4 linked regions of the Mytilus edulis genome follow. The protein of the gene in region 3 purifies or fractionates together with the protein of the main gene of each other region. This does not show direct contact. Links are inferred from orthologs where the notes say so. Each region holds a gene or a part of one and is shown on either strand. Other genes may lie near its edges. The genes, in order: F-box/LRR-repeat protein 5-like, threonylcarbamoyladenosine tRNA methylthiotransferase-like, cytosolic iron-sulfur assembly component 2B-like and general transcription and DNA repair factor IIH helicase subunit XPD-like.

The links.
Region 1: the proteins of cytosolic iron-sulfur assembly component 2B-like (region 3) and F-box/LRR-repeat protein 5-like purify together in Homo sapiens (affinity purification with mass spectrometry; 3 studies listed by BioGRID and IntAct, counting the BioPlex papers as one, with this or other methods). This does not show direct contact. The link is inferred for Mytilus edulis from reciprocal best matches to the Homo sapiens genes CIAO2B and FBXL5.
Region 2: the proteins of cytosolic iron-sulfur assembly component 2B-like (region 3) and threonylcarbamoyladenosine tRNA methylthiotransferase-like purify together in Homo sapiens (affinity purification with mass spectrometry; 3 studies listed by BioGRID and IntAct, with this or other methods). This does not show direct contact. The link is inferred for Mytilus edulis from reciprocal best matches to the Homo sapiens genes CIAO2B and CDKAL1.
Region 4: the proteins of cytosolic iron-sulfur assembly component 2B-like (region 3) and general transcription and DNA repair factor IIH helicase subunit XPD-like purify together in Homo sapiens (affinity purification with western blotting; 3 studies listed by BioGRID and IntAct, with this or other methods). This does not show direct contact. The link is inferred for Mytilus edulis from reciprocal best matches to the Homo sapiens genes CIAO2B and ERCC2.

Annotation. Positions count from the first base shown.
Region 1 is NC_092344.1:83,470,732-83,478,168, reverse strand, and holds the start of F-box/LRR-repeat protein 5-like, read right to left. Parts: upstream 3,028-7,437; 5' UTR 3,000-3,027; coding exon 2,913-2,999; intron 1-2,912. Other genes in the region: protein SPMIP1-like, read left to right, coding at 3,172-3,753.
Region 2 is NC_092344.1:115,480,888-115,488,264, reverse strand, and holds the start of threonylcarbamoyladenosine tRNA methylthiotransferase-like, read right to left. Parts: upstream 3,025-7,377; 5' UTR 2,920-3,024; intron 1-2,919. Other genes in the region: uncharacterized protein, read left to right, coding at 3,086-3,139. UniProt on the Homo sapiens protein: Catalyzes the methylthiolation of N6-threonylcarbamoyladenosine (t(6)A), leading to the formation of 2-methylthio-N6-threonylcarbamoyladenosine (ms(2)t(6)A) at position 37 in tRNAs that read codons beginning with adenine.
Region 3 is NC_092348.1:64,362,728-64,369,575, forward strand, and holds the start of cytosolic iron-sulfur assembly component 2B-like, read right to left. Parts: upstream 3,026-6,848; 5' UTR 2,977-3,025; coding exon 2,853-2,976; intron 1,580-2,852; coding exon 1,500-1,579; intron 682-1,499; coding exon 556-681; intron 51-555; coding exon 5-50; intron 1-4. Other genes in the region: cytochrome b5-like, read left to right, coding at 3,099-3,206, 6,843-6,848.
Region 4 is NC_092346.1:11,156,866-11,164,647, forward strand, and holds the start of general transcription and DNA repair factor IIH helicase subunit XPD-like, read left to right. Parts: upstream 1-4,782; 5' UTR 4,783-4,861; coding exon 4,862-4,866; exon of another isoform or gene 4,867-4,984; intron 4,985-7,782. UniProt on the Homo sapiens protein: ATP-dependent 5'-3' DNA helicase. Component of the general transcription and DNA repair factor IIH (TFIIH) core complex, not absolutely essential for minimal transcription in vitro.

The sequences.
Region 1 (7,437 bases), on a different chromosome or scaffold from region 3:
AGCACCCATAAAGCTTCTCAATAATCAGTTTTGAGAAAGCAACTGAACAATATGGTTACATATTTCCATGTATAATGTAAATAAAACTAACCTCCGTGACGCAGTTATTTACAGTTAAGTTGTCAGACTTTTTGATCTGTATCAGCGGCTGCCGACACTGCCGAAAGACATTTTTATAGCAGACATCATTTATTATAAAGAAAACAGACAAACAAAATACAGATTTTGAGAAAAAAAATGTTGTTTTGAGAAAGGTAGGTTAACTTGTTTTTTCCTATTATGTGAGCAACATTATAACGTTTAATAAATGTTATATCAGCCATTTTCTTAGATTTAAATAGTCTACAACACAACTTGTGTAATTACGACGACAATTATAACTTTAACAGCGGTTTATGGCAAACATTTTCAAGATTATTTAGGACTCATCAATGTAACAGAGGTTATGCAAATAAAAAACATCTAAAGATGCATGTAAACACGATCATACCAATTGAAATTCTTGTACATTGTTATAGATACCAAATCAGTTCATCAATTATCACTAATAAAAATCAAAAGGTGATGTCAATCATAGACGACATCACTGATTTACGTTACGGAGGATAGAAATTTAAGGAAAAAAAGTTTTTTTTCTCTAACAGGACTTTACTCTTTTTTAGATAACGATTTACTAAGAAAAATATTTAATTCTGTTGTCTTGTTTGTCATTTAATTCCAATATTTACATTCATTTATATGTTTGCTGTTGGTAAGAACTGGAATTGTCCGTTATGGAGGTTTTAAATGTTGTAACGGAGGATAGAAATTTTCGAAATGAAACTATTTTGACTAGTTGAGTATAATACATACATTATGGTGTGAAGGAAAATGACATTATCTGTATAGAGCTAATAAAATTAAGTTGAACAGTATTCGGTTTAGGTAAAACATATTTTTGAGTGAAAGTTCATGAATCGTTACGGAGATTTTGACAAGAACAAGTCCATTTGACTAAAAGAAACATATAACTTGATATCATAGAAAACAGTTTTTTAGTTTGTAAATTCAATGAATTGTTTAGAAAAGCTAGCATTAAAGAGTTAAGTGTTACTATGTATCAGCATTCAGATACTGGTTTGATATCAACCTCCGTAACAAAGATGGGATTGTGGATTAATACAAGCATAAAAAATACATACAAGTGATTCAAAACATAAATAATAGGGTTTTTCCTGGAAAGCTGTATTATGAAACTAAAATATTATACAGCATAACATTTCATTAGTTTAAATTTATTACTAAATAAGTTGTGAAAACTACTTGAATTATTTTTTAAACACTATATTAATTCAGACCTTAAAATTGGTTTTTGCTTTCAATATATACAGAATAATACGTATAAATCATTTTGCTATGGTGGTAAATGTAACCCATTTCACATGAGCCTGGATTTAAATCTTGTGTTTTTCTCTAATGCAATTTTTAAGATGACTTTATACAACACTAACCTCCGATACGTTCATACTTACCTTGTCTTACAAAAAATGCTAAAACTAGAAAACAACTAAAATGGTGTAAGTAAAAATAAAAACAAGAGTGGACACGCTGAAATGTCTCGCCTTCTATACTAATCATTGATATTATGTTGATAGTCCTAAGTATAAAGCTAAGCTTTAATACAACTGTCACATAAACTTAACATTAACCAAGATAACTAAACAAAAACCAATGAACCTTAAAAATGAGGTCAAGGTCAGATGAACCATGCCAGGCAGACATGTACAGCTAACAATGCTTCTATACAACATATATAGTTGACCTATTACTTATAGTTTAAGAAAAATAGACCAAAACACAAAAACTTAACACTGTGCAATGAACCGTGAAAATGAGGTCACGGTCAAACAAAACCTGCGCGACTGACATAAAGATCATAACATATTTCCATACACCAAATATAGATGACCTATGGCATATAGTATTAGATAAAAAGACCAAAACTCAAAAACTTAACTTTGACCACTGAACCATGAAAATGAGGTCAAGGTCACATGACATCTGCCCGCTAGATAGGTACACCTTACAATCATTCCATACAACAAATATAGTAGACCTATTGCATATAGTATGAGAAAAACAGACCAAAACACAAAAATTTAACTATAACCACTGAACCATGAAAATGAGGTCAAGGTCAGATGACACCTGCCAGTTGGACATGTACACCTTACAGTCCTTCCATACACCGAATATGCTAGCCCTATTGCTTGTAGTATCTGAGATATGGACTTGACCACCAAAACTTAACCTTGTTCACTGATCCATGAAATGAGGTCGAGGTCAAGTGAAAACTGTCTGACAGACATGAGGACCTTTCAAGGTACGCACATATCAAATATAGGTATCCTATTACTTATAATAAGAGAGAATTCAACATTACAAAAAATCTGAACTTTTTTTTCAAGTGGTCACTGAACCATGAAAATGAGGTCAAGGACATTGGACATGTGACTGGCGGAACCTTCGTAACATGAGGCATCTATATACAAAGTATGAAGCATCCAGGTCTTCCACCTTCTAAAATATAAAGCTTTTAAGAAGTTAGCTAACACCGCCGCCGGATCACTATCCCTATGTCGAGCTTTCTGCAACAAAAGTTGCAGGCTCGACAAAAATGACAGACTAGATATAGACACAGAAGAAAACAACACTCTCTCTCTGCTCAGTTGAAATTTATTTTTTAACAGTGTCTACATTTGAATTGTTCCCATTTTTTGGGAATGACTATTTAGCAAGTTTTGCTGAAAATTATGTGGTAGTGACTTTTGGTGTTTTTTTTTTTTCTTTTTCGCTCTGTTCATTAGTCATTGAAACGACAGCAGTAATGATTTTAAGAAAAACAATGATAGTATTTGGGATTTTGTGTGTACCATGTTAAGATATTTTTTGACCAATTCCTTCATTCGAGAATGAGGAATTGTGAAAACATCGACTTCTTCAGGACAATTCGGCGCCATATTTGTTTTTCTTTTGACTCTCACGTTTTCTCGCGAGATGCGAGATTGTGACGCCGGGTTGCTATAGGAATCTTAAACGCTCGTGCAGTGTCCCGGTAAGTTGTCAAACAGTGATACGAAGTGTAAAAATTAGTTTTTGAAGTTTTTGGAAAGTGAATAACCAAATACAGACATGGCACGGAACTATCCTGCCAATACACAAGTCCAGAAATTTTTGGAGGAGTCTTACAACAAAGAAAGAGACACTAGACTTCAGTGGTATTACAAATTAAGGGAAAATTCGGGAGCCAACATTGGTGCTTCAAAACAATCTGAAGTTGCTAGAAGAAAAATACAAAATGCTCCCAAACCGGCCGAGGACATGTTCAACAAAATATCAGGTGATTATGCTCCACAACAATTCAACAAAAAGAAGTCGAACTTTGAAGATTTACAAAACGAAAAATCAGAAAAAGGACTTGCGCAACTTGTTGCAGAAATGCGGCCGGTGGATTTGAGAGTCAAGGAAAAGTTATACGACGGATTTACAAAGGAAGGAAAAGGACGATATCAATATCTACATTCAAGGTACAAGGACAGTCCTGAAGATAAGTTTTCTTTCCCACTTCTTAGTTCTTGGGAATACGGTTGGAGACTTGGGGATGTCATTCCAAAAGAAGACATTAAAAAACCTCAGCACGGGCGTACAAAAATTGTAGCAGACACTTTTTATACCCGAACAGGAATACCTGCCAATCCACGTGTAAGTGTATAAACTCGATTTGAAGGCGAAAATTCGAAAAGAAACCATTCCGCATTTCAATAACTGTGATTCTTTTGTAAAGTCAAACTCTCGTTGCCTAGTGCATATTTCACAATAATAACATTCAGAGTAATTACACTCAATTGTCATGTAGAAATAATTAAATGGTTATGGATTTTAATCAGTTGTGTTGCGAGGAGATTTACATGTAGTATTATTTCATTTGCTCAAACACTTCACAGCTTGTGTGCTCATGTGTCATGTTTATTTGTTTATGCTTTGCATGTTTCTATAAACTGTTTAAGAATATTTGAATCGTTTTGCTGAGAGTATTGTATACTCTAGCCCTTACCAGTGCCAGTCCGTCCAGTTGGCAAATTTGTACATAAACATTTTGTATATATATGTACTTTGATTTTATACAATATTTTTATCATTTCGAATATATATTTTCCAATGTTTCATATTCATATTAAATTTTTGTTATTGTGACACTCTGCATTATTCTTTTAGAAATTTGCGTTTATGAAGAATACAAAAATCGAATTGCCATTCAGCTATAGGACCCTTTCAAATGAAAATTTATATCTTTGGCAATATGTCCACATTCAATGAATAGTAAAAATATAAATTCCTGCGTATTGCATACACGTTACTATCATATTGTGTATGTGATGTTTATTTCATAATGCTATAAATTAAAATAACTTTCTTATCAGTCGCTTAGGTGCAAATCATAGGATTACATTGTCAAACAAATCGATTCCTTTAATAAGATGGAAATCTCTCTTCGGAACGATATTGATTTAAGGATCTGAACTTGTTTCATGTACCTATGTTACCTGCAAAAAGCGATAGTTCATGAATTTTTCATCTGACACAGCGTATTATTCGTTCAATACCTACCCGATTAATTGTAAAATATCTACTCCATTTTTATTCATAGGTATACAAGGAAAATACGTGGATTAAATACGCTATTTTGAGTACAGTAAAACTACAATGTTTTACCAACAATTAAAAAAGTTGATTTGATGAAGGATGGGCGGACTTTCAGGGCATAAAAATATGTGAAATAAATGAACCTGTCGTTATTTCCAAACATACATAAATACTGACTCGCCATGAAGTTGTAACAAAATTAGTATCACTGCCAATTTGTTTATTTGAGCTAGTCTACAAGAAGGGGGAAAAGTATAAAGCTCGTAACAGCTTGTGACTGTTTAAATATCTCAATGTTATATGTATCCTTGTTTCTTGTTGCAGTTTACTAAAAAGTTTAAAATTTGATGAGTGTTGGTTGCTTTACAGTTAAAATCATAAGAAACGGTCACCGTGATGATGATATATAGTCAGAATATGTATATAGATGAATGTAAAAAATGTATTGAAAACTGAGGTCGGGATTTTCTACGTTTGTTGTCATTCTCGGATATGATTTGTTCTCATTTCGAAGAGTTGAAGGTTTAATCATTGATCGACGGCTTGTAATTCTCAGTTTCAGATTGTACTGTACCCCCCCTCGTCGCGTGTCAGACTGGTGGATCGTCGGCAGTTATGACAAATATGTATATCAACATCAATCAACACGACATTTAAACTTTGTTTACAGCACAATTTGAATGCACATCAAAATCAAAGCTCAGTCACAATAATTGAACGGTAAATAAAACTAATTAAAAAATTGGAAATTACCCAAAACGCCACTAGTCACACACTAGAGCACACAGTCAGAGATGTGGTCCATTGAATGATGGAGAGAAAATAGGAATTTAAAGGGTGTACCGACTCCTTTGAAACAAATACACAAAGTAGCACTCCATTAAAGAAGTTGGAACTTAAATTAGTTAAACAAAAATTACATTTCTTTGGGTGCACCAGTCAAGTTATTTTTGTTTTAAAATGTGTCATGTTTGTAAATATCTGTAAATATCGTTTTTGGTCCTATCTTCCAAAAGATTACCTCTACTGAAAGTAACATTCAAATAACCGATGGCTTCAAATTAGACTTACTTCCGACTTATTTATGTATTTTAAGAAACTGGTTTTTTTTAAACAGAATTTCTGCAATGCCATTCAAGAAATATATATTTGTAGTATATATGTTTTGTCAGAAATAACTAATTCATTGAATGATCAATCATCGGAATCGGGGAACAACCGGTCCCTTTTAAAGACGTATTTACACTTGACATTTTTATCACAAATTTATTTTAATTTTAGAAATAATATTAAATCTCAGACATCGATTAAATTTCAAGATTTCTGTTTGTTTATTTGATAAGAAACTATAAAGTCTATATTATGAACGGTCACTCCATCGACTATCTAATCTATGAAGAGTCTCAAAAAAATCTAATGTCCCGGATACGGGTAACAAGTTGTACTGATACTTAATACAACAAACATTCAATGGGCGATTGTTTGACTCTTACACCCCGTGCGAAATTCTTTTGGTTTATCAACTTGAAGCAAAACAAAGTGTTTCCATTGTTGTTTTTAACCAGGAGGGGATATCCCTCTTTTACCATCAAGTATCATAGATAAAGCGACATCATGTCATATGTGATGACATTTAGATAACCAAACTGTGTATTCAACTTATAAAATTCCAAACGGATTCAAGCAACACAACGAAAGAAAAACATCTATTTGTTAATATTCGATTAAATCCACCTTTTTTAAGAAAACTTCACCATATAACACTAGTTAATATTAAAAAAGAAGTATGCTTACAAAATTATCAACTTATTCTACATTGGTTCATTCGGGACAAGTGCAAAAATACAAATATTGACAGCACATTCCTTTTCAAACAATTTAAAATTTAGAAGAAGCTGTTTTATATTTTCCCAATTGCGATGCAGTGCTGCTGTTTTATTGTTATCTTAAATGAAAAAAATGCAGTTATAAGGTGTCTATATTGTCGTTCGAAAGGGTCTTAAAGTCACAAGTCCTGCTGTACCAGATCTAAGAGGATAGTTTTTGAGCAAACAATTTTCGGGTCATAGTATACTCTCTACGGAACGAAAATCAATACATAATGCAGAACTAGTAACAACCAAACCCATTTCATTGCTTCATTTCTATACAGATCTACATATCATCGAGTTAAAACATTTAAGACGGAATGTCTAGTCTCTCAACAATAAGAAAAATATACAATAAGAAAAACATAAAAACAATTCAGCGAATTTCAAAATAATCCCGAATATAAAGCATCATCTTCTAATGTATGCAAATCCTCGCATCTTTACTGAATACTAAATTGATTTATAAATACCACCTCCATCGTTTTTGACATATGAACAATTCAGAATAAATCTAAACCTTGTTCAGGACATAAAATGGTCTTAGGAGCACACGTATATTGTATCTATCTCTGTGTGTGTTTATTGGTTACAAATATTTAAACATGGAATTAAGTCAATAAATTTTAAAATATACCTATTCAGTACATATTAGTATGAAAACCAACCTAAGTATAATGGATCTAACGGGATTTCAATCGATCTATAGAAGTGGCCGTCCAGACACGTTTATGAAAATGTTTTAAATTTTAAATGGTCTCAGTTTATAATAGGTAAAATATTTCTAATTTAAATTTCAAGCTCAAATGACCTAACTGAATATAAAAACAGCAAATGATGTTTGCACCCAATATTGATCAATACACAAACATTTAAAAAGCAATTC
Region 2 (7,377 bases), on a different chromosome or scaffold from region 3:
ACTTTATCAAGTTCTAATGAATTAACAACTTATTTTGCCGAAAGTGAGAATGATTTTAAGTACGTTCCTTGAATAAGAAGTACATGAAGAGTTAAAAAATTATTTTTATCAATTAACATTAGTCATGCCACCAGCTTAAAAATCAATGCTTTAAACTCTTTATGCCTTGAATTTCTTTACTTTTAAATAAAAAAAATGCTATATCATCGACTTAGTAAAAATTGAATATTGCGGATGACGAAAGCAACGGAAAACAAGTATCGTAAACAACAGGGCGACTTGTTTTTGCTTTTGGGGGTCAGGCAAAGCAAAATGAAGGACGGGAAAGCTACTTCTTTACCATTGTGGCCTAAGCCCTGATAAAGTGCAAAAACAATTAACGGTAGGACAGTATTGTTTTTCTTTAAATATTTTTAATGCCGCAAATTACAAAACGTCATTTTGGGTGAACACTACTGGTTATTTTTAAAAAATTCAACAAAAAACATAGCGCCAATTTTACATGAAGGCGACTATAACGCTTGAAGTTTTCAGACATTCTGGAGTTTTAAAGTGGATATGTTTTGGCAAATAGCAATTACTTGACACTTTCAAGTGGTTATGAAATTGGTCACTTTTAGGCGATATCAACTTTTTTAAGATACATTTAGGCAAAATAAATGTATTTAGACTTTTGGTATTTAGCTGAATTTTGCCTTAGAATAACCTTCTGACGTCAAGCAACAATCCCTTTAAATTGTGACGTGAAATGTTTTGAATTGTGATGTCAAAGTTTACCGGAACCTGTTTGATTTTTACGTAATAGCGGACAAACTTGTTTACAAGTATAAATACGTCTATAGACATGTTTGTGAGAAACGAACACGGTTTGGGGGATGTACATGTTTGGGAACAGAGCTCCAGATAAGAATTCCCAAATTGGGGTTTTTACCCCTCCATTTTTTTTTTAATTGAGTGAAATAGTTTTTCAATTGCATTATTACATTTTTTTTTTGTAATTCCAAGTCACCCCTCAAGCAAATATCAAATTGAGGTTTTCACCACCAAGCTTCTTAATGTATTGGGTTTTTTCATTTACACAATATTGAATGTGTGTGTTCACTCATCAACTAAAATGAAATATATACATATGTACTATATATACTCTTGAACTAAAAATAAACAATGTTTTTGTATAATTTTATTAACATAAATCTGGATTTACAAGGGTTTTAGTTTTAGTTTTGATGAATTCTAACCCTGTTATTGTTAAGTCACGCAAACCATCCTGGACGCGCCATTGCACGACCCTGTGTGTTCAAGGGACGCTTCCTGACAACACTAGCTGAGTCTTGTTATTATCATAATCCTCTCAAAAGGAAACTAAAACATGCTTCTATTTAATGTTTTTACCGGAAATTTACTTTTGTTTTAATTCATTGCTAAGTGGTTTGTTAAATCCTGAGAAGTACGGAAAGAATTATGACGACATGGCTTACGCTAATTGGATAAAGACAGAGAAGATAGAAATGTTTCCTCACCACAAGTACCTTTTAGCATTGGAACATTTCAACAGGGACCCTTTCAACAATCTATTTTTTGAACGAAAGGACATTTCCTGATTTTTAATATTACAAAAATAGATCTATGCGACGACTATGGAATAGATAAGGGTAAATAACCAACACTATAGCGACAAAAAGCATGAAGAACTTATGGTTTTAACAAATTATTGGGTTTTTCTTTGCATGAATTGGGGTTTTAGAACTCTGCAATGGGCAATTGCATTGGGTTTTCAATTATTTTTATCGTGTGATCACGCAAATATGCAGCTTATCTGGAGCTCTGTGGGAATGTTACAATGTACATATGTATCCTTGTTTTATGGGTGTTTGAGCTATATAAAAGCAATGTCGTGTCTGTCACATTTTCCAATGAAAAAGCATGCATAGTATGACATAAGACTTACGAAAATATAAGGTCTGACGATAATGTCATTGGCATTGCACAAAGAATAAACAATGATTTGGTTACTCAGATTAGTAATCATGCATATACAAAACTACAAAACAATGAATAAGACTGATTAACAAATCCTATTTAAAAGACTTTAAACAACACCTGACTCACATTAAGGAACGAAATCAGGGCGAAAGTGATTATAAAAAGATAGATATTTTCAATGCACTTGTTTCTGTCAATGAGGGGTTTACTTTTCACAACCGTACGAAAAATATGTGTGTCAACCGTGCTAAATTATATGGGGACGAAGTCCCCAATTACGGTAGAAAAATTTAAAAAAAAAAAAAAATTCGGGAAAATTTCCCGAATTTTTTACTGTACTAATGAACTCAAAATTGTTAACTTTTTTTTCAGATCTACTTCCGTTTCCGGTCTTGTTTGCATGAGACTTTGAATAAAATGTATATTTATCAACATATCAACAAATATAGGAAGGAACTCAACACCCAATCATTTTTAATAATTGTTTGATATGAAAAAAACGTTACCTGGATAACAGCGTTTCTTTGTTTACATTGAATATGACGTCATAACTTAAACAACGTCACAACTTAATCCCTAACAACAGAACCAACATCGGAAACGTTACGGTATTTCCGTTTCTTTTATCAACATGTTTGAATTAAAAAAAAAATTACAGACTTCGTCCCCAATCACAGGAAATGCCTGCCTCATATTAGTAAACCCCACATTGACAGAAACAAGTGCCTGTTGCACTTGCTTTTACAAGCCTGTCTACCTTAAGGTTCATGTGGACCCTATGGCTAAAATGGCCGTATTTTCACCTCAAAATTTACTCTGAGTACAGACCATAGGGTCCACATGAACCTTATATGTGAACCTTAATATTAAACATATTCCGGTGAAAGATTCATCAGCTATTTCACACACAAATAAATACTTTTAATTTAAACCTACTGATAATCTATGGTTCAAACTTGGTTCTAAGGAACACTTCTCATTTCTTTCATCAACTTTTTCTGTTGAAATTTCATGCAACCGGAAGCACAACGTGAATCTCTGATTTTAACCTTCAAATTAGAGAGCTCTTTGTATCACATGAAAGTGAAAGTAGAGTCCCACAATGACAATTAGCTGTAAAGTAGCAACAGAGTGTTATCCTGTGTCACAATCAAAGGTTTAACTTTCAAGAATACATGTTACATTCATTTATTCACTATTCACCCATGAAAACATCCACAAATGGAGTCACCCTCTTTAAATAAAGTCATTCAAGGCCGTAACTACCCTTGAGGCAAGTGATGCAATTGCCTCACTAAAATTTCGACACTGATAATTTTTTTTATACATATATATAAATATAATAGTCATTTGTTGTTCTGTCTCAACCTTAATTTCTACAACTTGTCACCATTCCTTTTAAACTATTCTTCCTGGATATAACTCAGCATCTCTACGGGTGATGTTTCTCGATTACATTAACCTAGTAACGATAATCATCATGGATCTCTAGTTAAAAACAGGCTCTTGCAGAAAAATCTAGAAAAGCGACACTGAAGGTAAAGAAGGAATAATTCTAGTAAACTAGTTTTTTTGTGAACAGAGTCTGAGTATTGCATATAACTTCATTAGAACAATCCAAAAACGATAAGTAGACTGACAAATCAAGTACTGGTCTTCGGAAGGGGGCAGTCCTGTCTGCGTATTCATTTCTCCATTTCACCAACTTTTGACAAATAAAGTACTGGGTATCGCAAGGGGGCAGTCCTGTCTGCGTATTCATTTCACGAACTTTAACCTTTCTCTTTACAGATAAATAAAATATAAATAATATGAAACATGCATGGATTAGTTTTTATCCATGTTTCTTTAACCTTAAAAATTGAAAGAATATCCATATTCCAATTTGATATTATTGAGGAATTGTAGAACCGTTAACACAGGATTTTGTCTTTACTTATTCGGGACTAGGGAATTTCATTTCTTTATATTCTGGGTTTCGTAATCGTACACCCCCAATCCTAACCCCTAAATTTATAGATTCTGAAACTAAAATATCTCCAACTATTTCTAGAAATAATTTGAAATTATGGACCTACATGTAAACGTCAAAAACTCCATTCCAATTCCCCTGTACCCATATCATGTATACTTACTCTATAGATAGAATCATATACATGTATCTTATCTCATTCTATCCCTAGTTTGTCTACTCTTTGTCAGCATAAAAGCGAGTTTAATATTTTGTAACTGCAACTGTATGATAGTGCTTACAGGAAAGCTTAATTCCCTTTTGGAAACAAAACTGTTACTACCGATGCTGCTACCGAATTGCTGATGGAGAAGGAATTGTAAGAAGACATTGATCATTGTGTTGATGATAATGTGCTACCTTTTGAAACACAGACTGCCCTGAAACGACTGAAAACTTGGCAAAGAGCATGCATGAGTGGCGAGAGATTGTGCGGTCTTGCCATGCTCCATTTTCATCGCGATAAGGATATCAGCAGACCAAATTATGATTCTAAAACGATTTGACTGAACCGGCCATAGAAAACTTTGGCAAATTCTACTGAATCGATGTTTGTTCTATGATCTGGCAGCAGACTCAAATCAGTGATATTTGGATGATTATCTTACATATACATTTAAATAAAGTTGTTAAAAATTTGGTGTTAGTAAAAGTCTTAAAATATGAAAAATTTATATAAAAAGTGTCCAAATTCAAAACATTATCAAACTCTCTAAAAATGCTTAGAATGCAGGATTTTGCACCATTCATTTCATACCCTCCAAAAAAAATTTCGCCTCGCTTCGCTCGGCTCAATTATTTTGCCTCACTAAAATAAGATGCCTAGTTACGGCCTTGTCATTACAAAATTTTATCCCAATAAAAGTTGGCCATGTACATTTAGCTATATACATGTATGCTAACAATTTAATTTCCCTTTTTACTTTGGTTGTTGGCCATGTACATTTAGCTATATACATGTATGCTAACAATTTAATTTCCCTTTTTACTTTGGTTGTTGGCCATGTACATTTAGCTATATACATGTATGCTAACAATTTAATTTCCCTTTTTACTTTGGTTGCTGGCCTGTCCATCTGGCTGTCCGAATAAAAACTTAGTTATTTTGGCATCTACAAGTTAGGAGGATCTCACACTGGTACCCATTTATGAGGGTTGCCACAGACCTCCCAAATCTGTCCTATGAAGGGGATAATTGAATGTGTAGTCTTCAGTTTTATAATATGTAGTTTAAGCAAATAAGCAATTTTTGATTCTGTCATATACATGATTTAGCCATTTCCTATTTGCCAAAAGTTTGAAACTGCCAAATTGCCCCTCACGAAACCGCCCAACTTTTTCACCAACTTGACCACTCTTGTTTTCCAACTTGTCCACTTTCTAAAAAATCACTCCACTCTTTTCACCAACTAACCCCACTCACGAAGAGCGTTAAATCCCTGTTAACTAGCCCCAATTAAGAAAAAGGGTAAAATCCCAATAATTTATGATGAATTATATAAAACAGAATTAAAAAAAATCACATGTGATACTAATAAAAGTTGAAAATTTATTCTTATACATTTTTATGATGTGCTTCTTTCGCTTTGTAAACAAAACTGTGATAAAATTCTCGATATATCTATACTTAGCAAAGACTCAGAGATATACATAATAATGGCTGTTACAATATACTTCCCACGTAAATCTACATGTATTGGAACCTATTTGCAGACCCTTTGCCGATTTTATTGATTTAAAAAGTGCAATTAAAAAAAGACAAAATAACTGTTATTCTTATTAGGGTGCAAAAAAAAAAGCAGTAATGCACAAGAGCTCGGAGAAATCAACAAAATAAATATAAGATAAAATTCTGTGCCAGTCTATTATTTTTTTTGACGCATTTAAGTCCAATTTCAAAACATGATGTCACACAAATGAAACCGCTAAAGTTGAAAGTTTTCTGTTGCGTGAACCATCAAAATTCGTATGTTATTGTATTAAAACTGATTTTTGAGATAGGTTTTGTTTTATTTTCAAATCTATTGCATTATTTGCATATTTACTAATTTCAGCAAGTCAACATGGTGGCTCCTTAGTTACAAAATGTCAACTTTTGATTTGGCGGAAGCTTACGAGAAAATCATGTAAATTAAAAATGGCAAATGTTGGGTTTGAGAATTAGAAGAGTTAAACAGTTTTTTTCTAGCGGTTATTCATGAAATAACCCATGCAAGCTACGGATTTATTAAAATATTTGAGCTTTATCTACTTGAACAAGGAGTAAAAAAGATCAGCCACACACACACAAACCAACCCTCACTTCTGTATTTTAATGACCGTATTTGTTCCATTAGAATCAAAATAATTCATGGAAGCCATTGTCAAGTATTAGCCGCTGTACATTTACTAAGTAACTAACGTCACTAACGTTACCTATTGTTTACGTTGCCTATTGTTTTACGTAACGTTGCCTTGAACATAACTTGAATACAATTTGATATGAACACAACGCCTTTCATTACTAACCCTTAAGCGAAGTACTAACCACAAGAAACACGATACACGATATTGGTGCCTGACCCATGGAGAAATTAAAAGCAATTCGTGGTGGTCAACGTAGTGCAGTTACAAGATTAATTAATAGAACAAAGGAAAGAATTTCGCAAGATGATATCGAACATGAAGAACTTTCGGCTGCCGCAGACAACCTTACAAAAAAGAGGAACCTGCTTGAATCTTTAGACTCACAGATCTTAGATGGAACCGAACTAGAAGACATGGAACAAGAAATTCTTGACGCGGACGATTATGCAATGAATATGGAAGTCGCCATTCGCCGATTCAAGGACATAGTTACTGGAAACAAAACAACCCAATTTCAGCAAACGGTGAGTGAAACAACTTATGTTCCAATAGCCAATACACTTGATTCATCAAATTTTCCGTCAACAAGTATTGCAAATCATAATTCAAACCATTCAGAAAATGTATATACCGTAGATAATAGCTCCGTTTACGAATGCAAACCCAACAACAGCAACAAACTTCTATCACAAACTACCTAAGCTTGATTTACCGAACTTTACGGGAGATATATTAACATGGCAGACATTTTGGGAATCGTTTGAAACAACCATTCATCACAATCCCTCTTTGACAAATATACAAAAGTTCAGCTATCTCAAATCTCAGGTACACAGTGAAGCCGCACAATGCATATCCGGTTTATCTCTATCAAACGCCAACTATGAACACGCAATCATATTGTTAAAGGAGAGGTATGGACAGACACAAACCATTATAAACGCATACATGCAGAATCTACTTGAACTTACGCATCCGTCACTTACGCCGCACAGCATAAGAGTATTTTACGATAAAATGGAATCGTGCATAAGGGG
Region 3 (6,848 bases):
TTACCTGCTTCTTCCGATGCATGTGCTCCAGGTGTTATTGAAACATCTACCTGCAATTAAAAAATTACATGATCTGACAGGAGTGAAAATCTTGTTGATAATTTTTGCAATTTTTCTATTTATCATTGTTTTTCAGATATGACAATCAGATGCTCCACAGGGCACAGCTTTATATGACTGCTAAGGTGAAACCCTGAACTGAGATATACTGTTTAGCTATTAATATTTTAATTATTTTTGTCTTTAATATCTTTTAAGAGAGCAGCAAAATATTCATATGAACCCAAAGCACAAAGTGTATTATTTTCAAATAAAAACTTCTGATACTTTTCTTTTTCTATCAGCTAAATCATTGATACATTACAAGAAACTCATAAAAATGCTATATAAGGTCTTGCAATGCTCTTGCTCCAATAAAAAATCCTCAGCTTACCAATAACAAGGATTTGTATAGTATAGTCTTACTATACAAATCCTTGCCAATAACTTTTTTGAAATTAAGTTTTTTTATTTTTAAGGATGTTTTTCTGTGGCTTTATGTTACATTTTTGATACCTTGAATCTTGGTGGCAGAGATCTTAGAAGTTTAACCCGAATAGACAATCCAATCAATGTTGCCATACTACAGTGTGGAATTGTGGGTGTAAATTCTATCGTCACTTTGTTAGCATCATCATCTACCTGAAAGAAAAATTCACATAACATTATGGTGCATATAATTCTAATGAAATGTACAACTTCTATTCACGGCTGTCTGCTCTTTGGTCGGGTTGTTGTCTCTATGACATATTCTCCATTTCCATTCTCAATTTAATCAATCTGAATAAAGTTAGATATTTCACTATAGCTCTTTTGAGATTTTTCCTGCGACTTGTCTGAAAACATCCAATATGGGAAATCAAGCACTGATTAACATGATTAATGATGTAATGTATTTATAATTATTATTTCCACTTGCAGACTCAAAACAGTCTCTTGAAAATATATCTTGAAGTTATGATTTTATTTCATCTGATTTTAATTTTCTTTTAGATATCTCTTGAATTCAAATGAGGGTTACGGACATTCAATTGCCAATACACTATATTTCTTTTTAGTTCTTAAATTTGTTTATGTTCCCACTCAAGGTGAGTCTTTTTTACAGCAGATACTTTATAAAAGGTTAAATAATGAACAATGTAGCTCAGAAGACAGTTATCCAGAAACACATCACATTATGCTTGTAAGATTAAAATAAATGACATTACTAGCATCTACTGTAAATTCAGTAATTATTGCATGCATTTATTATTGCAATTTTTGTCAATTTAGACTACAATGTGATTTTATTTTTTTGCCATATTGAGAAAAATCCTGTTTAATTTAAGGAAAAATTTCAAAATGCGAATTTAAATTATTGCTATTATAACCCTGTCCCATTTTTCACAATAATAAAATCATCGCAATAATTTCTGAATTTACAGTAATCTTTTTTATTCAGTTGATAGTAATATACTTACAATAACTTTGCTTTGCTCAACAACATTCAATTCCTCTAATGTCAGTGGATGTTCAGGGTCATTTATAACACGGATCAAATCTGAAATAAACATATTATTTAACTATATGCTACAGTTATGGTAAAGATAATTGATTAAAGTATCAATCAGAAATAAAAAATAAAGACTTAGAAATTTGCCCCCTGGCTCAATATGTGAATAGATATAAGAAGCTGTGGTATCAGTGCCAATGAGATCACTGTCCATCCAAGTCACAATTTGTAAAAGTAAACCATTATAGGTCAAAGAACGGTCTTCAACACAGAACTTTCGCTCACAATGAATGACAAGCTTTAAAGGGCCTCAAATATGACTAGTGTTAAACCATTCAAATGGTGAAGTATTGTCAACTATTAGAAGTTGATCAAGAAAGTAATTTATAAATATATATCTTTATGCTTTCAAAGGCATCAACTGTCATGGATTGATTTCATGGGTTTTACAATTGCTTTAGCGACTATAATCATGATAGTGAATGTGTATAGTTGTGAAACTTAAACCTAAACTACAACAAAGTATAACAAAAGAGATGATTTACATTTTCCCATAGTGACCTTTCCATATATCTGTGGAGCATGATAATCATATGATGAGCCTATATATCTCCCAATAGATACAATATCTCAGTGCTTGCAATTGGAACATCATTAGATAGTTAAGAGGCATTGTCACTTCCTACCAAATTATATGTTGAGGAAGAGGTTGAAAAAAATATGCTGATGTATTGCACAATTTATTCTGTATTCAGGGAATTGTGATAATAGTATTACGGAACAAACTTTATTTCCGGTTTATGCGGCAAAATGACAATTATAAAGACGCTTGATGAATTTAGATAGAGCAGAGATACATGGGATCCTATATATGGTAAATGATGTCATAAAGGTGCACATAATCAATTGACAATCTTTTCCAATGAAGGACATAACTGGAAGTAGAAAGTGGTCTATTGAGATATTTTGTATTGTAATGGCATGATAGGGGTTGGTAGTGTTTTTGATGTGTAAGGCAATATGTCGAAGTTAGGAGTCAAAGAAAAAAATTATAATGGCCTTTCAAGACGTCATAATCATTTAATTGGCCTAGGCAATATTATGCAGTGTTTAAGCACAGGCACTCGTCTCAAAAAAAAAATCCTATATACCTTTAGAAAAAAAAATCTGAGACGAGTGCCTGTGTGTTTTATAAGGGTGACAAGACAGACCTGGCAATACAGTTTTAATTTAAATGTTTACTAAAGTTGCAGCTTTAGCAAGTGGTACCCATGACATGGTTCTGATTTAGTCAGCTGTCGTATTATTTAGTTTATCTTACCAAAAACTTCTCTTGTATCTATTTTGTCTGTAACACTTTCATCTTCTTCCTCTGGTAAGACCGGTCTCTCAGAACCAACTTCGTATATTGTAGGATTTGCATTGTCTAAATCATTTTGGGACATTTTGAAGTGAATTTCATGCTAATCCGGAAAAATATTAAGGGGAGTAACTCTGTTCGTCCGTTTCGAATTTTATAAGTTTTCTTTCATTTCCGGGACATTCACGAAATCTCGACTTTTGCAAAATGACGAAAGTTTTCAGAGAAGCCGACGTAAAGAACAACACTGATAAAACAAAGACTCTTATGATCATTCATGATAATGTTTATGATGTTTCAAAGTTTCTTGAAGAGGTAAGTTATGATGGGCAGATGGTTTTAAAGACTTGACATTCACATTGGGACACATAATCATAAAGGTCAAGATGTAGGACGTACGAAACAAAAATTGAAAGGATAAATTATGGACAAATGAAAGAAATTCATCATTCGGCATGTTCAAAGCTAATACATGATAATAATTTTATATTAAAATGTAAATTTTATTGTACTATAATATTCCTGTGTATAATTTATGAATGGGTAAAACTGCAGTTCTGTATCAATCCACATTTTAACCTTTATATACAAGTACCATATGACATCATACTCAACACACTTAAACAAATCTTTCACAATTTAATTCTAAGTTAAAATAGCTATATTTTCCTGTAAAGTTCTTGGTCCCATTTACTATGTCCCAATTTTGATGTTAACAAAATAAAAATTAAAACAAAAATCAACAAAATGTTTAGACTCCCCTTACCGGTGCTTGATAACGAAATAAAGGGTCTAAAATTGAACATTGAATTCTTGGGGTTCTATGTTATGCTGAATCTAACCATGTATTTAGATTTTGGATATTGGACCATAAATAGGTAAATGTCTAATTTAAATTTTTTTGGAAAGATAAGAACTTGTTTTAAATCTTTACTCTAAAGGCACTGGCCTCCCTAACAACACTACAGGTTAGCTACCTTTACTAAATGTTTTCACACTGAAATATAGTTCCCTATAGTTCTCATGTATGTGCACATAATACACATATAAACTGAAAAAAATGGGTATATTTTTGGAGCAGTTCATTTAAGAATGTATATCATTAAAGTTTGTTGATGTGCAGGCTTATTTTAAAACATTTTGATTAGGTTATTGAGTATTGATACAATACTCATATGATTGACAACTGGCATTATCAACAAACAATAAGAGACAAGGTAGACCTTTAATTATAATGCCCCACCTCCTAAACTGTCAATCAAATTGACCACATTACCTTTCAACATCTGTGTTACATAATTATACTCTAATATATATGCAACTCAATATACAAATATTTGACCTCATAATTGAATACACAAATGTGTATATTAGATGTTTGATACATTTATTATTTCCTATTTCTTTTTATCTACATTATGATTATCAGGGATCTCCATGGCCTGTTTAACGATGGCGCCCCGCCATCGTTCAAATGTCTTGCGCCATCGTCAAATGACTTGCTCCATCGTTAAATTGTCTTGCGCCATCGTTAAATTGTCTTCCGCCATCGTTCAAAACTTCATCGTTTTTTTGTAGCCCGACGCCATTTTTTTTATCAATTATAATCAAATGCATGTCATTGCATAACCCTTAGGCTTTTTATGTTATAATCCAATACAGTTCTAACGCCTGGGGGGTATCCGGATTAAGATCGCTAATCACTTGTACCTGAGCTTGTACAGGTAGATCAACAAACCAGACAGGAGAATACTATCTGAGGATAGACGATCCATTTGTCGAATTAACCAAATAAGTTTCAGCAAATGATTATGATAATTTAGATTAAATTAATAAATAATCCAGTTACAAAGAAAACAGTTGAACAAGTCGAACACATGCTTTATTTTGACTTACGCAATCAGCATCCTCCTTTTTAAAGAAGTACAAAATAAGACGCAAAACAGTAAATATTATTTCATCGCAAATAACTTGAGTACTACTGTAACGATAATTTAGAATTACTTTAAAAGTTTAAAAGTAAAAATTTAAATATTTCCTGTAAAGAAATATCGTATCGTAATTCCGAATTCATTTCGTATATTACAATCAAATTGATACATCCGCGTTTCCGGTTACTTTTTTAGACTCGAAAGATGCGGCATGTTGCACAGCATCAATTTGCAAGATAAAGTCATTAAAAACCTTTTCATTTGTCAACATTTGCTTTATAAATCTCTTTAACCTTTTACATAACCCGTACGAATCGTTTTGTTGTTGCTGCAAATCAGCCATACCGGTAATGGGTTCTGAATTTGACAGTGTCCATGAAAAATAAGCTCCACATCATATGATTTTTAACCCCCATAACAATTACCAAAAATACAAAAAATCTACATGGGGACCTCCATGACAGCTTTTGGTCATTCTCAACTAAGGGGGGACCATGAAGACTTGGCATTTGAATGATTAAAAACGGCAATAAATGAAAATATTGATACTTCTAATTCTATAATGAAAATTCAAATAAATATAATTTAAATAAGCAATTGAATTAGCATGTTCACCATTCCCTGTATGGAAGAATAAAATACTTCCGATCGCGCTACACTTTACAGCGTAGTCACGGTTTGTAATGGTGAAAGTTCCTCCATCGTTCAATTTTCATCCATGGAGATCCCTGTGATTACATAAAGTGATTCTGTAAATTATGTCTGAAAGATAAATAATGGAATAACAAGATCTTATAAAAAAAAAAATGAAATATGAATATGAATATATATATATATATATATATAAGATATTCAAGTAAGGCCTATAATTTTCTTAATGAATTTCCAATAAACATCTGTAGACTGTAATTAATCAACAATTTAGATTGGTTCCCTAATTTTTTTTATCAGGATTTGGCTTGAAACAGTTTTAAAATTTTAAAACTTTTAATTATAACAAACCATTGTTTATTTAATTATTAGTTTATTCCCCATCAATCCACATTTCAATAAAAAAAAGTTTTTTTAATTTGTTTACATTGAAAAAGTACATTTTCAATGCCCTGTGTTGAAAAATACTTTAAATATTGAGACACTCTACGACTTTTAATCTTTCAATGTCATATAACCTATGTTTCACAAAACAACATTTTTAGATTATTTTTGTTGACACTTTAATGTTCTTAGCTGTTGGTCTCGATTTTATGTTCAGCACAGGCAACATTATTTGGATAAGATATAAACTGCAGTTTAAATAAAATTGTGCAAGTTAAGAGAGCCGTATTATTTAATTTGAGCTCATTTTATCCTCATACTGGAAAAACTCTTCTCCTTCTAAAGACCTGCTGTAAATGCAATTTTCTCCAATAGTGCTTTATTAATGATCATTTTCCCTCACCATACCTTAATATGAAATTATTCAAACTACTCTTCTAATCTTTCCATGAGTGATTTCCATCACTTTGATTAAGTTTAAGTTCTTAGACCACATTCATTCTGTGTCAGAAACCCATGTTGTGTCAACTATTTAATCACAATCCAAATTCAGAGCTGTATCAAGCTTAAATGTTGTGTCCAACTGTTCATACTTGCCCCAACTGTTCAGGGTTCGACCTCTGCGGTCGTATAAAGCTGCACCCTGCAGAGCATCTGGTTTCATTTTAGTTCATTTAAATGTTTTGGAGTTTTGTATTACGTCCATTTTCACTGAACTAGTACAGATTTTTATTTAGATGATGCCTACCTCTTGATTTGGAATTTTCTTGCTGCATTGAAGACCCATCGGTGGCCTTTGGCTGTTATCTGCTGTTTTGTCCGGTTGTTGTCTCTATGGCATATTCCCCATTTCCATTCTCAATTTTGAAAGTGATGAGTGTACTTGGGATAATATACTCTCTATTCATGTAATTTGTTATTTTAATGAGTAACCACAATCGTAAATAAATAAATATGATTTTAATATTAGTTTCCTGTATTTCAGCATCCT
Region 4 (7,782 bases), on a different chromosome or scaffold from region 3:
TTTCTAGCAAAATTTCAAAGAGATCCATACACTTATATAGACAATAATAGTGCATTGACTTGACATACCAACGATATAAGGATGAGGCTTAGAAACGGGGAAATGCGATGCTCTGCCGAGCTATTTCCCCGTTTCGGGCCGAATCCTTATATCGTTGATGTTTCTAGCCAATGTACTATTATTGTCTTTATACTGCAATCTAGAAAAACATTTTAATTTGTTTAATGCGTTAAGGTTATTTATTTATTTAAATATTTGGGGAAATCCCCTTTAGAAAGGCCTCATATCATGCTCGTGGAGAAATATACAACGCAATGAAATGTACATTTACCTGTTGAAACCCACACTCGATGGTGAACGAAATCGTTTGAGTATGGACTAAAATATCAACCATAAGCATAAAACATAATGATTTATAGGTTGCAAACAAAAATTATTAACAAATGAAATATGTTTTTCCAATAATTGCAAAAGAAACAAGGTTGAGTCGTTCCATGCATAGTTGTATGCATGGGAAACAAGAACAGGTTGAAGAGGTCGTATGAATAATTAAATATTATTTCGGCAACTTCTATTTAAATATTCGTGAGGAAAAGTGATAGCGGGTCAGTGACTGTATATGACATAGAAATATACAGTCAACGCATTATGACTGCTCAAATAGAACGAGTGCAGTATAAATCGTCATAATATACGAACGCAAACATTTTGCAGTCGTATAAAAATTAAGTGCGTGTCACCTTTCTGGGTTTACCTTCATCGGGAATGTTTAAATTCAAAAAGTTGAAGGGCAATAATGTATATAAGGTGTCGGTATATTTCATTTTTTTTAATTTCATCTGCGTTTTACATGAAGAGTGTGTCTTCAGAATATGATAACATCTTTCAAGCTGCGTTTCCGTTGAGTTTATGTGAAGCTGTCACGAAAACGAAATTCCTCTAATCTGCAAGTCATGATCCTGTTTAGTAGTCCTCAAATGCACTTTGTACTTGTTTGGCTTTATAATTATTTTGATCTGAGCGTGACTGATGAGTCTTGTGTAGACGAAACGCGCGTCTGCGTATTAAATTATAATCCTGGTACCTTTGATAACTATTATCTTGCTGTTTTTTTTTTCTTTTTAAAAGTGTCTATCTTTCTTTAATAGTTAGAAATTAGGCAAAAATCGTTATTATAGGGCAATAACTGATTAGACAATAAGGTGTCGACTGAAGATTTGGCCACGTTTGACTTGTTTGTAGATCTTGTCTTGCTGGTCATAATCTCTATAATTGCCGAGTTAAATAACGAACATTTTTTAAAATAGTAAAATACATCATTTGAGGGCAAGAACTCTTATAAGAAGACGTTTCACAGTTTCGACACACACGAAAATAAATGTAGCTCAACATTCTGAACATGTTTTCCCTGCTAGATTTTCATTACCTATAGCGGTTTTAAAAGTAATAGTCAAACTTATATTTGACGCCTATTTCTATTTTAAGCCATGTAGGCCATTTTGGTTGGAAGGCCATTGATCATTGGACACATTTTTTTAAACTATATACCCAAGTGATGATTGGGGTTAAGTTTATTAAATATAGTCCAATAGATTTAGAGAAGATTTCTATAAAAGTAAACAGATGACAACGGACGACGGATGAAGGACAAGACGACGATTGGGGACGGACCGTCGGTCGAAGAACGACGGGTGTCAATCGAAGATCGACGGGCGCTAAGTATTTAGAGGTGATTGATTGACCTTTTATTCCAGGTGAGTTAAAAAGGGTTTAGGATGTTTGTTCCAAGCGGAACACATATTATGGCATTGTTTATAACAAAGTTTCCAGGCGAATTTCTGTTAGACAGGAACAAATACAACTAGACATAGCTTAAACTCGACAATTAAAAAGTCATTCATAACAGCAAAGGAACAACCTGCGACAAAAGGAGCCCAGTTGGTCTTCATCAAAACGATAATAAAGCCTGGTAAAGTGTATCTCGAAAAAACTATAACAAAACATTTACTGTGCTTTTCAGGTCGTATAATCCTTTTCCAAATAAGAATTTCCCTTTTGGTAAAACTGTTTGTAGTTAGTTTCGTAGTTAGTTTTGTCTCATTGACGTTAATATATACTTCACAGTTCATTTATTTCTGTGAATACATCATATTTATAGGTAATTAAGATTTGACTTGGTTTATTTTGTGCGTTAACTAAAATGATTCACATATGATATGTATAATAAATAACAACAAAGTTTACTTACTTTTACTCATGGTAGTTAATTGTAGGACATTTGTGGAATGAGAGTTACAGGCTTAGGTAACATTGGTCACACGTAATGTGAAAGTTCTGTCATTGCCGCATGGTTATCAAATCATGTCCAGGTTAATATCACATTACCTAAAATGAGAGCATAAACTTGCATGTATATTTATTTTATTTATTATTTCAGTTTCAGCAAACAAATTTCTGTACAAATAAGTAGAGCAGTCAATGCATAGCTAAGTATAAGGTTTGAATTATATTAAAATGAGATGCGAAAGATACAGGAGGGACATTTAAACTCGTCAGTCGAAAATAAACTGACAATGCCATAGCTTAAAAAAGTAAAATATCAACAGACAAACAATAGTACACAAAACACAACACACAACATAGAAAACTAAAGACAGCAACAGGAATCCCGAAAAAAACTTTATGTGATCCCAGGTGCTCCGGAAGGGTAAATTGATCCTGTTTCACTTGTGGCTCATGTCACGGTACAAACCCGGTAATAATTCTAATTCGGTAGGTCACATTAGGGAAAAATGATACTGGAGACCACAAAGCAAACGTTATCACATCAACATTATTCAACAAGATTAAAATGAATCGTGTTGTTTGCTAACAGTGGCGCCGGGATCCAGAACTTTTTATAAAAAGGGGTCGCTGAATGACCTGGGTTGGTCCGCTCCAGTCATGATTGATTGATTGATTCCATATATAAATAATCAACCAAATTTTCCAATGAAAAGGGGCCCCAGGCCCCCAAGGGCCCTCTAGATCCGCCTTTGAATTGACTTACTTCCGCATATTTCTCGAATTAATTCAAGTAAATGGACTTTGACCCCATTTATGAACTGTTCAATAAGTCATTTTTTTTTTTAGATTATATAATACATTTAGTACCCACAGTATTCACTGTTGTTTAAAAATACATAATTTTCCAGTAATAGTCAACGTTTTTCTGTGTTGCTCCAGTCGTTCATTTTGGACGACCCACTCATGCAGTATACACAGTCAAAATTGATATGGCAAGAAATGAAACTTCATTTTTTACACTAATAAAAATCTAGAAATATATTAGTGTTACCATAGATATTACATCTATGGTGTTACCTTATCTTTGATGTCCATGCATTCCCATTCAATCATGCGTCTTAAAATTTCCGAGAAAACAATGAACTATTATCCAACCATTTCCCCCTGAAGATATAAATAGAATCGACTCAATCTTAAAATGGAATTCCCCTTCTACATAATTAAAATTATTTGCGATATATTTTTGTCAGTAACATGCAACTAATTTCATCAATTAAGGTTCATCATAACCTTTTGGCTAAAATGGCCGTATTTACACCCCAAATTTTACTCTGAGTACAGACTAACCTATACACCTGCAACAGTTTTAAGGGATGGCAGGAACTAGATATATAAATTTTAAATGCATTTTATGTTTCAGAAAATTATAAACTTTTCTAGATTTTGCTATCCATTTTTTTTCGTTCCTGCAGAAGGTGCAAAAATTAACTAAGTAGTGAAAACGATTGAGAAGCTCCCCTCATATTATCAATGTTGTGAGTAGTATTGATTTAAATTGACAATAGACACCTGTAAACAATAGGTTATTTAACAGGTTTAAACTGTGTATCTGAGTGGACCGTATCAAATGAAACTCGGGTGTTTGTTTATTTTGCTATCTTCTGCAGACTGGAAAAAAATGAACATCAAAATCCAGGTAAGTTTTTAATTTTCTGAAACGTAGACTTCATATAACTTTTATATATCTAGTTCCTGCCATGCCTTAAAACTTTCCTGGATGTACCAGTTTGTCTGTACTCATAGTAATTTTGGAAGTGTAAACACGGCCATATTTTTCAATTCCTTATGATGAACCTTAAACGAGTTCATTAAACACAACGAAAAGTACTACAGACCACAGCCGGATGCAACAAATGCCACAACGCGGACGTCGCTGACAACACTCTATGACCGCAGCAGCCTTATATTGTTAACAAAGGATGTATTTTGTGTGAGTTCGTGGTCTAGTGGTTAAGACCGATGGCTACAGTGCTGAAGGTCCCGAGTTCGATTCTCACTCGGGGTGCTAAAAATCTCAGTACATTAGAAGGGTAATTTTCACCCTCTCACACACATCTCTGGTACCCAGACCGGAGTTTAAACTAGAATGGGTACGTTGGGGGCCTCGGTTGGTCAAAGTGTCCCTACTTTGACCTGGAGATCAATCTTCTGATATCTCTCTGGTTTGTCTGTTTCCACCGAGTGGCCCGGTGGTTCTCTCCGAGTACTTCGGCTTCCTCCACCACAATAACAGACTTCCCGGTGTCCTAGCACTCCCTTTGTGTTGAATTGGGTGGGGATTGGTTGTCCTTGTAAAAATAATTGTCGTATAAATATACGTTAGTGACACATCTCCATTAATCCCGTTAGGGAGTGTACATGGATGCCACTGTACCCTCGCAGCTTTCGAGGGGTTCTTCGGATATCGGAGGCATTTACCAGTACATACATACATAGGTAGTTATTTAGATCCGAAAACTACTTCCGGTGAAAACAAATCGGCATGATCAGCAACATTTGTTTAAAAAGTTGAATCATGAAGTAATGCTTTACGTCTTAATTATCAAAATCCTACTTGTTAGAAAAATACCATAATAGATTAAGTATAGATGAAGAATGAAGTGTAAAATTAAAAAAAACTCAAATAGGGAGAACTAGAGTAGCAAAAATAATTTATCAGCATCAGCTAGGACTATTTATAATTTTATACTAACGGGACTGGAAACTGATCAATCTGTTAAGATTTAAATGCCCCGAAAAGCGGGATTACTGATTTTTTGTTTTGATGACAGCTTATCGTGTCACGTAGTAAATTAGCATTTGGAACAAGTAAACAAGTCAGCCGATAGAAAACTATTAAAATTGGGGGATTCGAAATAAAGAATAATTATTAAATTAATTAGTTTATATGCAAAATAATCGATATTGTTTACGAAAAAATATTAATAAATTGTCAATATGTAAGTGTTGCCAGAAATAGTTGAAAATTAAAGTGGCCGACAATTTACTTGACCACTAAGAAAACAATGTGTCAAAGGTTAACAGATACATGTAATAAGGGCTATTTAAAAAAAAAATGATGCCTTTGTCAGATTATATAATCCTGATAAAAACAATTAGTGTGCAATAAAAACAATGTTGACAATTTCAGTTCCTAATTAATTCATATAACAAAATTAAAGCTATCCGGGTCTCATGAAAACATAGCCACATTGTTTTGAACTTTTTTGAACTTCGTGTTTATGTAAGTGATAAATTTGTCCTGGTAAAAAATGTCTGGGCGGACAAACATTACTACATGTAGTATAAAAAGTCCATGGTTACAGAATTTACTAGTATATTTAGTCCGATGTTAGTAATATATGTCCCCAGACTAATTTTCCTAGGTAATCATGTCCTTTAAAATCATATAATAAGTTCAATTACATGTACATTCAAACCATGGAAATTTAAAATGTTATGTTTTAGGCCACACCAATTTAATTTCTTGTTCTACGGATTTTTGGACTCCAAAATTTGGGGTGAGCGAGCGATTTGAAAATTTTAATAAAAAAATATTTAATTTGCAAATTTTTGAGGCGAAGCTTGAAAAGTAAAGGCGAGCGATTATAATTTTTTTTTGTAAACATAAAATAATAGGTTTTGACAATATTAAAACTTGATTTATCACTTGTACTTTGACATTTCTTTAATTTCTGAAGTATTTTTTCCCTGTTCACCAAGAAATAATTAAATCTGGTCTATGTATGTGTGACTGACAATGAGACAATTCTCCATCCGAATCATAATCAGTTTTGGGGCAACCCCTTAATGTTATAAATATCCCTTTTACATGTTTTATGAGGGATCAATATAAGTTATAATATATTTGTTTGTACAAAAGGGCTCATATTTTCTAATAGAAATATATATCTATCTGGTATTAAATGGTCAAAACATGTCCAAGAATTTAGAAATATTCCTGGACTTTAACCATGTTAACACATTTACTTTAACAGTTTAATATTATTCAAAATTAGTGGACCCCTCTTTTAGAAAAAATGTTTAAAATAGGATGTAACTCTCCTCTTTTTGAGTACAAAATTCTAAGTGTTCAAAGGTTTTGTATAGAAGAACTATTTTCTTTTCTACATCAGTAAAATGACCCCTTGTCTGAGGGAGGGTTGTTCTCAACCTGATAATAACAAACACAGGTCAAAGTACGGCCTTTTACACAGGGCTTTGATAAAGACCAAACAGCAAGCTATAAAGGACCCCAAAATTATTAGCGTACACAATTCGAACAGGAAAACCAACGATCTAATTTATATAATACCAATGAACAACATCAACAAACGATAACTGCTGAACGCCATGCTCCTGAATCAATCAGGACAGGTGCATAAACATGCAGCGACTATGGATAGTTTTGTTTCGCCAGCATACAATATAATTACAGTTGAAGGCAAATCCTTCAGAAGTTCTTTGTACTTTATTCTAACAACGAACATTTTTTTGATAGGGAATATAAGTAAGGGGGAAAGAAACCAATTTTTTGTTCTTCACGGAAATACCCGCTGTTATAACTTTTTATCGGAGCACTCCAGGTTTCATGCTGAAACAAATATTCTCACAGATATTTACACAGTGTGGTGGGGTGCTTTTATGTTTAAAATCGTTATATACAGGTTAGACTCACTGTGATTTAACAAATGTTGATATCTTTTTATAATATTTACAACAACAAAAAACGGTGCGGGAAATGGACATGATTACAATTCCGGATGCGGGAAGCGGGAATATAAAAAAAATAAAAAAATTCTGTTTTGAAAAAAATAGGTGCGGGCGGGTCCGTCAAACAAGGGATCGAATTGGTGTGGCCTTAGTAATGTTTAAGAGTTGCATAGTTATATTTTTGATAAAATTCATGTCCCCAGACTAATTTTCCAAGAAAATCATGTCCATGTCCTTAATACATGTAGTCTTAAGTTAAAATGTCCATGCCCTTAATTTTAAAAGGTGAATATGAATGTAATATGTTTTAATATTGCTAAAGACAAAATGAAAAAGTTGTGTATCAATCTGTTCAATAAAATTTGTCTCCAGACTAATTTTCCTAGGAAATCATGTCCATGTCATTAATAGTTCTAGGTTAAAATGTCCATGCCCTTAATTTTAAAAGGTGAATATAAATGTAATACATTGTATGTTTTAATATTGTTAAAGAGTTGTGTATCAATTTTTTAAATAAAATTTATGTAAAAATAAGGAAATTTTCCAATCTTATCTAACATTTTTTTCATCTATTTTAAATATATTTTTATATGATATAATAAAACTATAAGAAAAACAAGTCTTCGGACAATTGCCAGACATAATTTACTAGCTATGGACTTATTTTCCTAGGAACATTTGTCCTAGGACTTATATTCCTAGTAAAATCATGGACATGGACTTGATTAACTAGGAAAAAAAGTC